Linked DNA regions of Neodiprion lecontei. The protein of the gene in region 2 interacts with the protein of the main gene of each other region in a biochemical or structural test. Links are inferred from orthologs where the notes say so. Each region holds a gene or a part of one and is shown on either strand. Other genes may lie near its edges.

Evidence for each region.
Region 1: the proteins of elongation factor-like GTPase 1 (region 2) and ribosome maturation protein SBDS interact in a biophysical measurement, tested with the Homo sapiens proteins (2 studies listed by BioGRID and IntAct, with this or other methods). The link is inferred for Neodiprion lecontei from reciprocal best matches to the Homo sapiens genes EFL1 and SBDS.

What each region holds. Positions count from the first base shown.
Region 1 is NC_060264.1:9,155,075-9,160,300, reverse strand, and holds ribosome maturation protein SBDS, read right to left. Parts: upstream 3,175-5,226; 5' UTR 2,967-3,174; coding exon 2,836-2,966; intron 1,801-2,835; coding exon 1,173-1,800; 3' UTR 698-1,172; downstream 1-697. Other genes in the region: corrinoid adenosyltransferase, read left to right, coding at 1-22. UniProt on the Homo sapiens protein: Required for the assembly of mature ribosomes and ribosome biogenesis.
Region 2 is NC_060263.1:17,903,768-17,908,784, forward strand, and holds the start of elongation factor-like GTPase 1, read left to right. Parts: upstream 1-1,715; 5' UTR 1,716-2,377; coding exon 2,378-4,866; intron 4,867-5,017. UniProt on the Homo sapiens protein: GTPase involved in the biogenesis of the 60S ribosomal subunit and translational activation of ribosomes.

The DNA.
Region 1 (5,226 bases), on a different chromosome or scaffold from region 2:
AGTCAGCGAAGAGAAGCAATAGTGTATTTGTGACTTTTTCAACATGTTCCCACACACGTGATTTTAATTTAATGAAATCTTGAATTAGAATTTTCTCCTACGACCCTTTCGTCATTTGCCATTATTATTTGACCACAGTATTTATACACAGAAGCATTTACGTTAATATCGTACACTATGACTAGGAAAATATTATGAAAATTCTGAGATTGTACTGATAATTTAAGTGTCGGGTATGGGAACAGGTTCAGTAGCCAGACTGTTGAACTATGAAAAATATCAATCTCCGATTAGTCGTTGTTAACATGACACAGTAATGTTGAACTAGAATTAATATACACGCACGAAGATAGTTCTAAGAGTATTCAGAATTGTATAAATTGTTTGATGCATTTCATTCGTGCCAAGATTATTTCAAATTTTTAAACGCAGCTCAACAGTAACCATCAAGTAACAGTTAATGTATCTGATGCTAAATATGATTTCACTAAGATATGTAGGATTTACAGATGTTTTATAAATCATTGTTATTAATGTTGATAATTTATCAGCACAGTCGTTGCTGTAATAATTAGATAACGTATTGAAAAATAAACTTGTAAATAGTATGTACCGATTATAATCTCGTTGAGTTATTCATTTTGAATTCGTGACACTGTCTGTTTGGTTATTTTATTCGATTGACAAGCACAATAGATTGGAAAAAAGTAATTTTATTCAGTACAAGGTGATACTACATAAATAATCGAGTTACTGGGAGTAAGTAGTTCACACTATTAATCGTTAAACAGTTACTAATATGTATTACAAACAATATATGGTAGCATTGACCAACGAGCAGAAATTTGCGAATATATATTTCAAATATCTTAACAAAACGAAATACTTTTCTCTGTCATAAGTCGCACGATGTTTTCAACTATTTTGTAAACAAATTCTGCATCGCTGTGTAAGAATATCATGCTGTGATTTGTATTTACAGGACCGTTTGACAAATTATCAGTAGCTGCCTTTCAACCAGAGTAGTAAATGTTGACTCATCTCATCTTATTTCTTTATTCAAATGCAAAAGATCACGGTAGCTATTTGTTTACGATGCATTTTTAGTGAATCAGTGCGTTACATGTTTGTTAATATTTGTAGGAACGTTCCAGATTACACCTCGCAACCATTCATTCCAGGATTTCATCTCCCTCAGTGATTTCCTTTAGGTTAATCAGTTCCAGTATACCTGTTCCTTTTGTTTCTGATCTTACCATTTCATCTATTTCTCTGTATTGACCTGGGTCGATTAGGCAAACTAAGTTCAAACTGCCTCCCTCCCAACTTTCATTTTCAATCTTAGTTGCTTGTTTGGAAATCTTCTCTCTCAGTTTGCGAGCTTCTTTACCTGATATCAGAACTCTCAAACGCATTTGTGCTCTTTCCAAGGGCATGACAGCCTTCAATTGCGGAATGACATCCAAAGCCTGCTGTTTGGCGTTGCGATTAGGTTTTACAGAAAAATGAACATCTTTCATAGCTTTTTCAATCATCGATATTGGATACGGGCGCTTAGTTTCTGGGTTGACACATTTGTCGGATACTGTTGTTGCTATATCCTTGAACATAGAATCCAGAGCCGATTGTCTTTCCTTGTCAGAAACCTGTAGCTCTCCCTTAGTAAGGATTTCCTTGCATATTTCTGTCTGGTCATCCTTACCAAACGCTTTCAAGAGATCTTCCCTCTTTGACACCTGACCTTTGGAAACGTTTGTAAACACGGTATGTGTCTGCAATACTTCATCTATGTCCTTCTCTCTGTGACAAATGTTCTCAATTTAATATAATTAATATTATCAAAGATATAATTGGTTTTCAATTTGAATTGTACAATTTAATACAGTGCAAAATCAAGCTGGAGAAAAAACTAGAGCCTGATGCAAAGTATTCGTGGTATTCACACGCGGACTATTTGCCGTTCGAACACCACACGCGTCTCTTGCTCCATTGCCTAGAACCTTAAGGGCTTAATGTGTGACACAACTTCTTTCCGTAAATGCACCAGCGCATATGCAAAGATCTCAAGAATCAGTTCGACTCATAGCAATGCCGCCTTGTGCTGAAACAATGAAGTTGTTCAAAGGATATTTGCAAGTGAACCCACAGATTTTTTTCATGAGGCTCTTTGCGATTGTGTTTTAAGCCACACCTCCCATGCCACAACTGAAAGGTAATCGCAAGGAACCTCATGGAAAAATTTCACAGGTTCTCTTGAAAATATTCCGTGGCCAATTTCACGATTAGAGTGCATGTCAGCACATGCTATATTAGCCCAAATGACTCTAGGGACTATTTCATATGCAGTGAGCTTATCCGTGGTGTAGTTTTTTTTGCAATGAACGGAAACAACACAGAAAAATATTCCAAGAGAAAAGCCCACTATTGAGGTGTGACAACGTTCACGCCTTAAGCTCTAATTTTTTCTCTTTGCGTAGTAGCAACGAAGAACTGGAGCTGACCATGAAAAGATTAAGAAGCGTACCAAAATAGAATATTTTAATCAATGCACAACTAACATAAACCAGTATTCTGATGTGACCAGTGATAATGTATGCATGTAGAATTGTAAACAGGTTGATAAATGTACAATTTTGCCTCTCAAAAGTATAAATATATATATATATATATATATATTGACGAGTACCACAATTAATGAAGTCAGAATCGAGGCTCATCCGAGTCAACAAATGAAATACTACAGCTAGGTTATGTCGTGCGAACTTGCAATAACACTCAATCGGTGTGCAACAAAATTGCGTAATATGGCTACAGTTGACAAATTGTAAAACTCACAGATTTGTTCTCCAGGATACAACCTTGTTCCTGTAACAGGCGATCTCGAACCTCTTTCCTGCTTTTTTCATACGCACTACTGCGACGTTCGTTAACCTGATCTGGTTAGTTGGTGTGAAAATTAACGACATTTTTGCAAAGTCCGGTAACAATTTACTGCCGTCGAAATTACAAATTATTCTTTATCTCACGATGAAAATTTTCATCAGCTTATCTTCGTACTTCTAGGCACTTAATTACTTGTAAAATGATTAAAATATAAACTGGACGTAGGTCTAGTTGACAAGGGCGCATCGCAGCATCCACAATGTTACTTGAACGACTTGAATGTTTTTACAGGTTCAACTGCCGCAGATTCGTCAGTGGTGCCAACTCTAGATTCTTAAAACATCGAATCTCGCGTGGGAAATTGACGTATTTCATCTCTCATTCAAATCGAAGCACTAACTTCAAAAATCCGGAAAATTATGTAAATGCGTAAATGTGTAGACTGATAAGATTTTTATAGAATGAAATTGTTCTCGGAAATTTAGTAGTCATAAACATTGATCATAAAGCCTGCGAATTCAGAAATTTTCAAATTTTATGGAAAAATTTACTTTCGTAACGTTTTCTCTACCGTCTATAAAATATCGAAAACATATTCATCAGTAAATTATGTGTCGGTTACTGGTATTTTAGGATAATCAAAAAAGCTGATTTCCATGAGATACGCAATAAATTGCAATAAATCATCGAGCAGCTACCGCGTGGTTGGCAAATCTGTCGCGTCGTAAAATCAGTCGGATCAGCAGTGAATTCGAGTTGCGCGCGCAAACGACAACCGACGCATGCGCAGTTGTGATATTATTCTGCAAAGAGGTGTATTGAACATGGCGACCGCGAGCGTGATGCTGACTGACGTTTAGAAATATGCACGTTTACGTGAAGATTTGAAGATACGGCTCTAGGCCCGCGAGTGTTTAGTTAGAGCGTGCATCGACGGTGACTCTGGAGGCAAAATAGGATGGCTTTGGTCACCGTGCAGCGTTCTCCCAGCGTTACCAGCTCGCCTCAGAGTTCGGTGAGTTTTGCATTTTGTGCCAATAGTAGACAGAGAGATACGCGGTCCGGTGTTCGCCAGTGTTGAGATAACCGTGGCTCGGTGCAGCCGCGGGCCGCATCTGTTTTTTTTTTTATCTCCCTTTTGTACCAACTTTAGCATTAATCACCGCGATGAAATTTTTTCTCATTTACCACTGTTCGAAATCAAACAAAGCGTGCTCGGTGCAAGCCTTTGACTACAAAACCAATACTTGCAGGAAGATTTTACTTTTGCATTTGACAATCACTGTAATCATCGTACGAGTTAAAATATATCTCAAGGGTTCTCTATCTACACGAAACACCCGCGATATATCAATCTCTTTACGCATTGTCAGATACGAGTTCGAACGTTTGCCTTTTATGGCGATATATCTCAAGAGTTTACTCCGTTTCCTCCGTCTATCTCTCATTCTCTAGCTCTCTCTACTATACTCTCTCTTTCTCACTCTCTCTCTCCCTCCCCCCTCTCTCTCTGTATTGCTATCAGCTGTTCGCATGCATTTAAAACTTCTCTATGCGCATATATGTAAGTATAGGTTCCAAGTCCAGGCGCGTGTCGCCTCGTCGCACTGTGGCTGATGACCGATTTTAGTACGCTATTTGTCCATTTGATTCATTTATCAGCTGGGTATTGTTAAGTCAACGTCGAGCATCGTCGTATATTTTCATTGAATGTAAACAAGAGAAAAAGACTCGGTCAAGATCTGCGCCATTCATAATTCATACGTATTTAGGAAGAAGAATATCCACTGGAAATTCAATATTTTTCAAAATACATTTTTTGCCAGTTTCGCGGCCGACATGTTTATCAATCACGTACGATACTTCGTCTGAATTTCAGGTAGTTCGGAAAATTCAACGGTTTTTCCACAAAATACATCGTTACATCAAAGTTACGAATTTCAATTTAACCCTGGAGCGGCAAAGGGGGGCGAAAAAACACCCCACGCGAATTTAAATTTCCCACCGCAAGAGAACAGCTTATGTTTTCAACTCGACTAATAACAAATTTTTGATCATCCTATTGGAACTTGACCAAAAATTATTTTGGCCCACGTGATTCTTCGTTAAAAAGCGAAGAAACTGATACCCTATAGGACCCTCAACGATACGCTGTATCCGAGAGATGGAATTTACAAGATTGGGGCGTTTTTTTTTATCCCCCGTCACCGGAATAGGTATGAAAAAAAAAAAAAAAAATGTTACCATTCCAGTTTTAACCTGATTCTGGTGCCATCGCGAACGTCGATATATTCTTTTGATAAAGCCACAGGCACCCGGAAACGTGCGAAATGTAGCGGCGCG
Region 2 (5,017 bases):
ACGAAACATTGATCCGAATCCATTCTGGAATTTAGTGAAAACATCTGTAATCTTATGTATCTCAGGATACCCGAGATTCGTCGTGAGTTTCTATCGAAGCTGGAATTTTTGAAGGAATTCTCAAAGTTGTTTTCCCCGGGAAATTTGGAATTGACATATGTCACTCACTCATCTTTCAACATTCCTTCGGAAATTATTGTGAAACTCTTAGCTAATTACCTTTGAAAGTCGTTTGCTTAATAAAATAATTAATAATACAACTATACTATTCAAAACACGATAAAAAATTTTACTGCATTTTTAGGTACTGTTCGAAAATTTGCAATAATCTCAAAAACTTTCCGAGAGCACAGTTAATTCCACATTCTTAAAATTTTTATCAATAAAGTGAATAAAGTCTTGACGCAACGTAATTGTAGTAACGTTGCGAAGAAGGAACTTGTTGCCTTATATAAGGGGGTCGTCTAGTGCGAAGACTATTTTTTATAGGTTTTTGGGTATTTTTCTGAAACAAACCATTGAAATAAAATTTATCATAATTTTCATATCATATTTATTGACATTTCTACGAACTTTGTGATTTTTTTGGAGACGAAATATTGAATACAACCTGTTGTTGAACTAGGATAATTATGATTGCTTTGGTAATTTTTGTTTTACGAGCTAAACAAATGGAAAAAAAATTTAAGTTACAAATTTTTAAATATTTTAATTATTTCACAGAGATTTTCAAAGAATCGCAGAATTTTTTTCGCACTAATAGAACAATTATAGTTTATCTACATGAATCTAAGAGTTTGTATCAACTCCTCTGAAATTTTCTATTTCTTGAAGCAGATCTATTTGCTCATATGATATAAAAGATTACATGAATAAAACTTGATATATTTCTGGATTGTAATATTTTTGCTTTGAATATCGTAACAAGGAGAATTCTAACCGGATTTATGAAAGACACAAATGACAGAACCGACGTGTCTAATATTTAGACGTAATAGTTGTTCAGTCAATTCCACGATTTGCTCTTACGTTTTTCTAGAATTTCAAAACATATTCCTGTAAGCGGTTTTGCCTGCACTGTTTCTAAGATAAAGTTTTCATCCAGGGGTATTTTCAAGTCTTATGTAAGAAAGAATGCAAAGCTTTTTCACAACTGCGTGTTATTTTTCGTACACTGCTTATTTAATGTTAATTGGAAATCGTGAACAAATAACACAGGTCAACAAAATGTAAATTTTTGTTTTGGATTCATATTCAAATGAATAAATTTTGATTCTATAGATCGAATAATAACTAAAATCTTTATTTATTACTTATAAAGTTTGTTTTTATCTTTTTTACGTTGATAAATAACTTAATGTTTTCGATTGACAATATATGCAGCAGGTAGTAGCGCGTTGAAATAAAAAACAAAATTTATCTCGTAAAACTATATTGTGATAATAGTTTCCAGTTACGTGGAAAAAATCAAAATTTGACATCTAGAACCTGGACTAAAAAATTGGTGTTGATCGGTGTAATCAGTCAGATTCCACATTTCGGATACAATTTGAACGGCGTTGGTTACCGCTAAAATTCGGACAAACGAAAGTCGGGCGAGAGTCAAGTATCGGTCGAGACAATCCCGACGTCTCGATTCGCCAAGACTCAGCGACTGTCAGCTGTTGTCAAGCGTTCGAAATTGCCATTCAAGTGTTCAAGTTATTCAAGGTTTATCTGCAGACGGAGTATGATGGCCGGCGTCGCACGGTGAAATTCGAGGTGAAGTTAAATTACGTCGCGATTCGGTTTAACCAGCGAGTGATTTTCCGGGTTTTCGGTGTTATCATATCCGCGAAATCTGAGCCGTCGATCTCTCACAAGCCCGAGTCTATTTTCGATGCAAAAAAGGTGAATAATATAGGTTGATCGAACCTAACCTCGACAGATTTGAACCTTCGTACAAGTGTCAGTCCCGTTTTCGTGTGCTCCTAAATCGGATATTCGATATTTCGGCAAGAAAACAAGTGTCAGAGTGAGGAAAAAGTGTTTTGGAATGAACGAAGCGTGAATCGGCCAACATCTTCGCGTCAAAGTTGCCGCTTCTAACCTCACAGTTCGCGATGATTTTCTCGCAACGTGCTCGCGCCCCGAGTGACGATTTTTATTATTTTAGCTATACAACGGTAGCTACGAATAACAACAGGAACTCTACTTTGATATTTTGATCGAACAGTAGCCGGGTAATTCACCGCTTGTGTTCCGTAGCTTTCTAACCTAAGCCTGATCTAATTTTAAATCTCCCAATCCTTTACCCAATTAAATTAATTCCAGACCCAACCTAACCTTAGTTGGCCTACGTTAATCAAAACCTAGGGTCACAAATTATAGTATAAAAATGAGGCTCGTCAGTTCTGAGAAGCTTTCCATGCTGCAGCGCGACCCTGACAATGTCCGCAACATCTGCATCCTGGCACATGTCGACCACGGCAAAACAACGCTGGCTGACTCTCTTGTAGCAAGTAATGGAATAATATCTGGTAAGCTTGCCGGCAAACTGCGATACCTTGACAGCAGAACGGACGAGCAGCAACGCGGCATAACTATGAAGTCGAGCTCTATCGCTCTCTACCACACTCAAAACGGACGTGAGTTCATTGTTAATTTAATAGACTCCCCCGGTCATGTAGATTTCGCCTCTGAAGTATCGACTGCGGTGAGGCTCTGCGACGGGGCGATAGTGGTGGTCGACGTGATCGAGGGCGTCTGTCCGCAGACCCGCAGTGCCCTTTCGATAGCCTACATCGAAGGGTTGAAGCCCATTCTAGTCTTTAACAAGATAGACAGGTTGATAACGGAAGTGAAATTGACACCTCTAGATGCCTACGTTCACTTGATGCAGGTATTGGAGCAGGTGAACGCGGTCATGGGTGAACTGTTTGCAAGCGATGTGATGGAGCGAGAGGAAAAGGAGGAGGCTGCCAGCAGTGAGAGCCGTAACCTGAACGAGAGAGACCTGGCTGATTGGCAGTCAGCATTAGAGGAGGCGGACGATTCTAATTTGTACTTTTCACCGGAACGTGGAAATGTTTTATTTGCCAGTGCCGTTGACCGCTGGGGATTTGGTCTAAAGGAGTTTGCCAAAATGTTTTCTGAGAAGCTGGGATTCAGTAAGAACGTACTGCTCAAGACACTGTGGGGGGATTTTTACATAAACAGTAAGACCAAGCGGATAATGAAGGGTGCTCAAGAGAAAGCTAAGAAGCCGCTTTTCGTTCAACTCATCCTAGAGAATATTTGGGCACTGTATGACACCGTCGTCGTCCGCAAAGACAAGGACAAAATAACATCCATGGTCGATAAGCTCCAAATAAAACTCACCACTCGGGACCTTAGGCACACCGACTCCAAGGCTCAGCTACAGGCGATTTGTTCGCAGTGGCTACCACTGGCGGAAGCCTGCCTCGATATCACCTGCGCTAATGTTCCCTCACCCAAGAATCTCACTAACGAAAAGATTGAACGGCTCATGAGTGGGAATACCGATTTCTCTGCGCTTCCGCAGGAGACGCAGTTGCTGAAGGATGCTTTCCTGGCTTGCGACAGCTCGCCGAACGCGCCTGTAATAGTGTTTATATCGAAAATGTTTCCAGTGGACAGAAAAACCCTGCCTGAAAACAAGTCCAAGCCTCTGACGCAGGAGGAGCTCGCTCAGAGGCGGGAAATCGCCAGACAGCGACACGCCGCTCAACTGGAGCAGCAAAAGTCAGGAATCACTGCGGTAACGGAAAAGACAGAGGCTTTGGACTTGGACAACATTCAAAAGCCAGTGGAGGAAATATCTGAAGATGCTTTGGTTGCTTTTGCCAGAGTTTATTCAGGAACGCTGAGTGAAGGTAGCGAGGTTTTCGTCCTTGGGCCGAAACACAACCCTGCATTGGCTCTGGAGCGCCTCAAGAGTGGAGAGGAAGTCGACGAGAGCGCGGTGTTGAAAGACCTCAAGCCTGGCCGGCATGCGACCAAGGCAAAGATTGAGCGGCTGTACCTCTTGATGGGACGAGAATTGGAGCCATTGGAGAGCGTGACAGCCGGTAACGTGGTGGGAATCGGAAATTTGGAGGACCATGTCCTGAAAACGGCAACTCTGTCCTCCACGATAGCTTGTCCCTCTTTTGCTGAGCTGACGTCATTGACGGATCCGATTCTGAGGGTGGCACTGGAGCCGAAGCACCCGAATGACCTCCAGAAGCTGATGAAGGGCCTGAAGCTGCTAAACCAAGCAGATGCCTGCGCTATTGTCCACATTCAGGAGACCGGTGAGATAGTTTTAAACACAGCGGGCGAAGTCCACCTTGAAAGATGTCTCGAGGATCTTAAACTGCGCTATGCCAAGGTCGAGGTGAACGTTTCGGAGCCGATAGTTCCGCTTAGGGAGACCGTTGTCCCTCCGCCCAAGGTCGACATGACCAACGAGGTGATAGAAAAGAAAGAGCAGGAGTGCAGTCTCGAGTCTTGGACCGCTAACAGGCAATGCAGCTTCGAAATTGACGCGAGGCCACTTCCGGATGAGGTGACTAAGACGTTGGAGAAATACGTCGATCTCATCAAACTGCTGGATCGGCATGTCGAGAGGCTTGGCAAGGAGGTCGAGGATGTTAACACGTCTACCGAATCCTTGGTTCTTCCAGAACGAACCCAGAAAGCCGTCGATTCTTTCAAGGCTGAGCTGAAACTCGCATTTCAAGAGGGTGAAGAGGAACTGGACCTCAGAAAGATTTGGTGCTTTGGACCGAAGAAATGTGGGCCAAATATGCTTGTCAATGAAACCAGTTATGAGAGGAAGCCATTCTGGGAACGACAGGCTAAATCTAATGATCCTAGAGCTGCGTGAGTAGGCAGTGATTTTTTTAATTACATTATTTATAAATATTGTGGTTGGCGAGTAATGTTATTAAGCTCAACTTCATGCATATTCAGGAAAAATTGCTGCATGTCACAACTCTGAGATTGTATGAAATTCAGCAAACTGTTAAAAAGC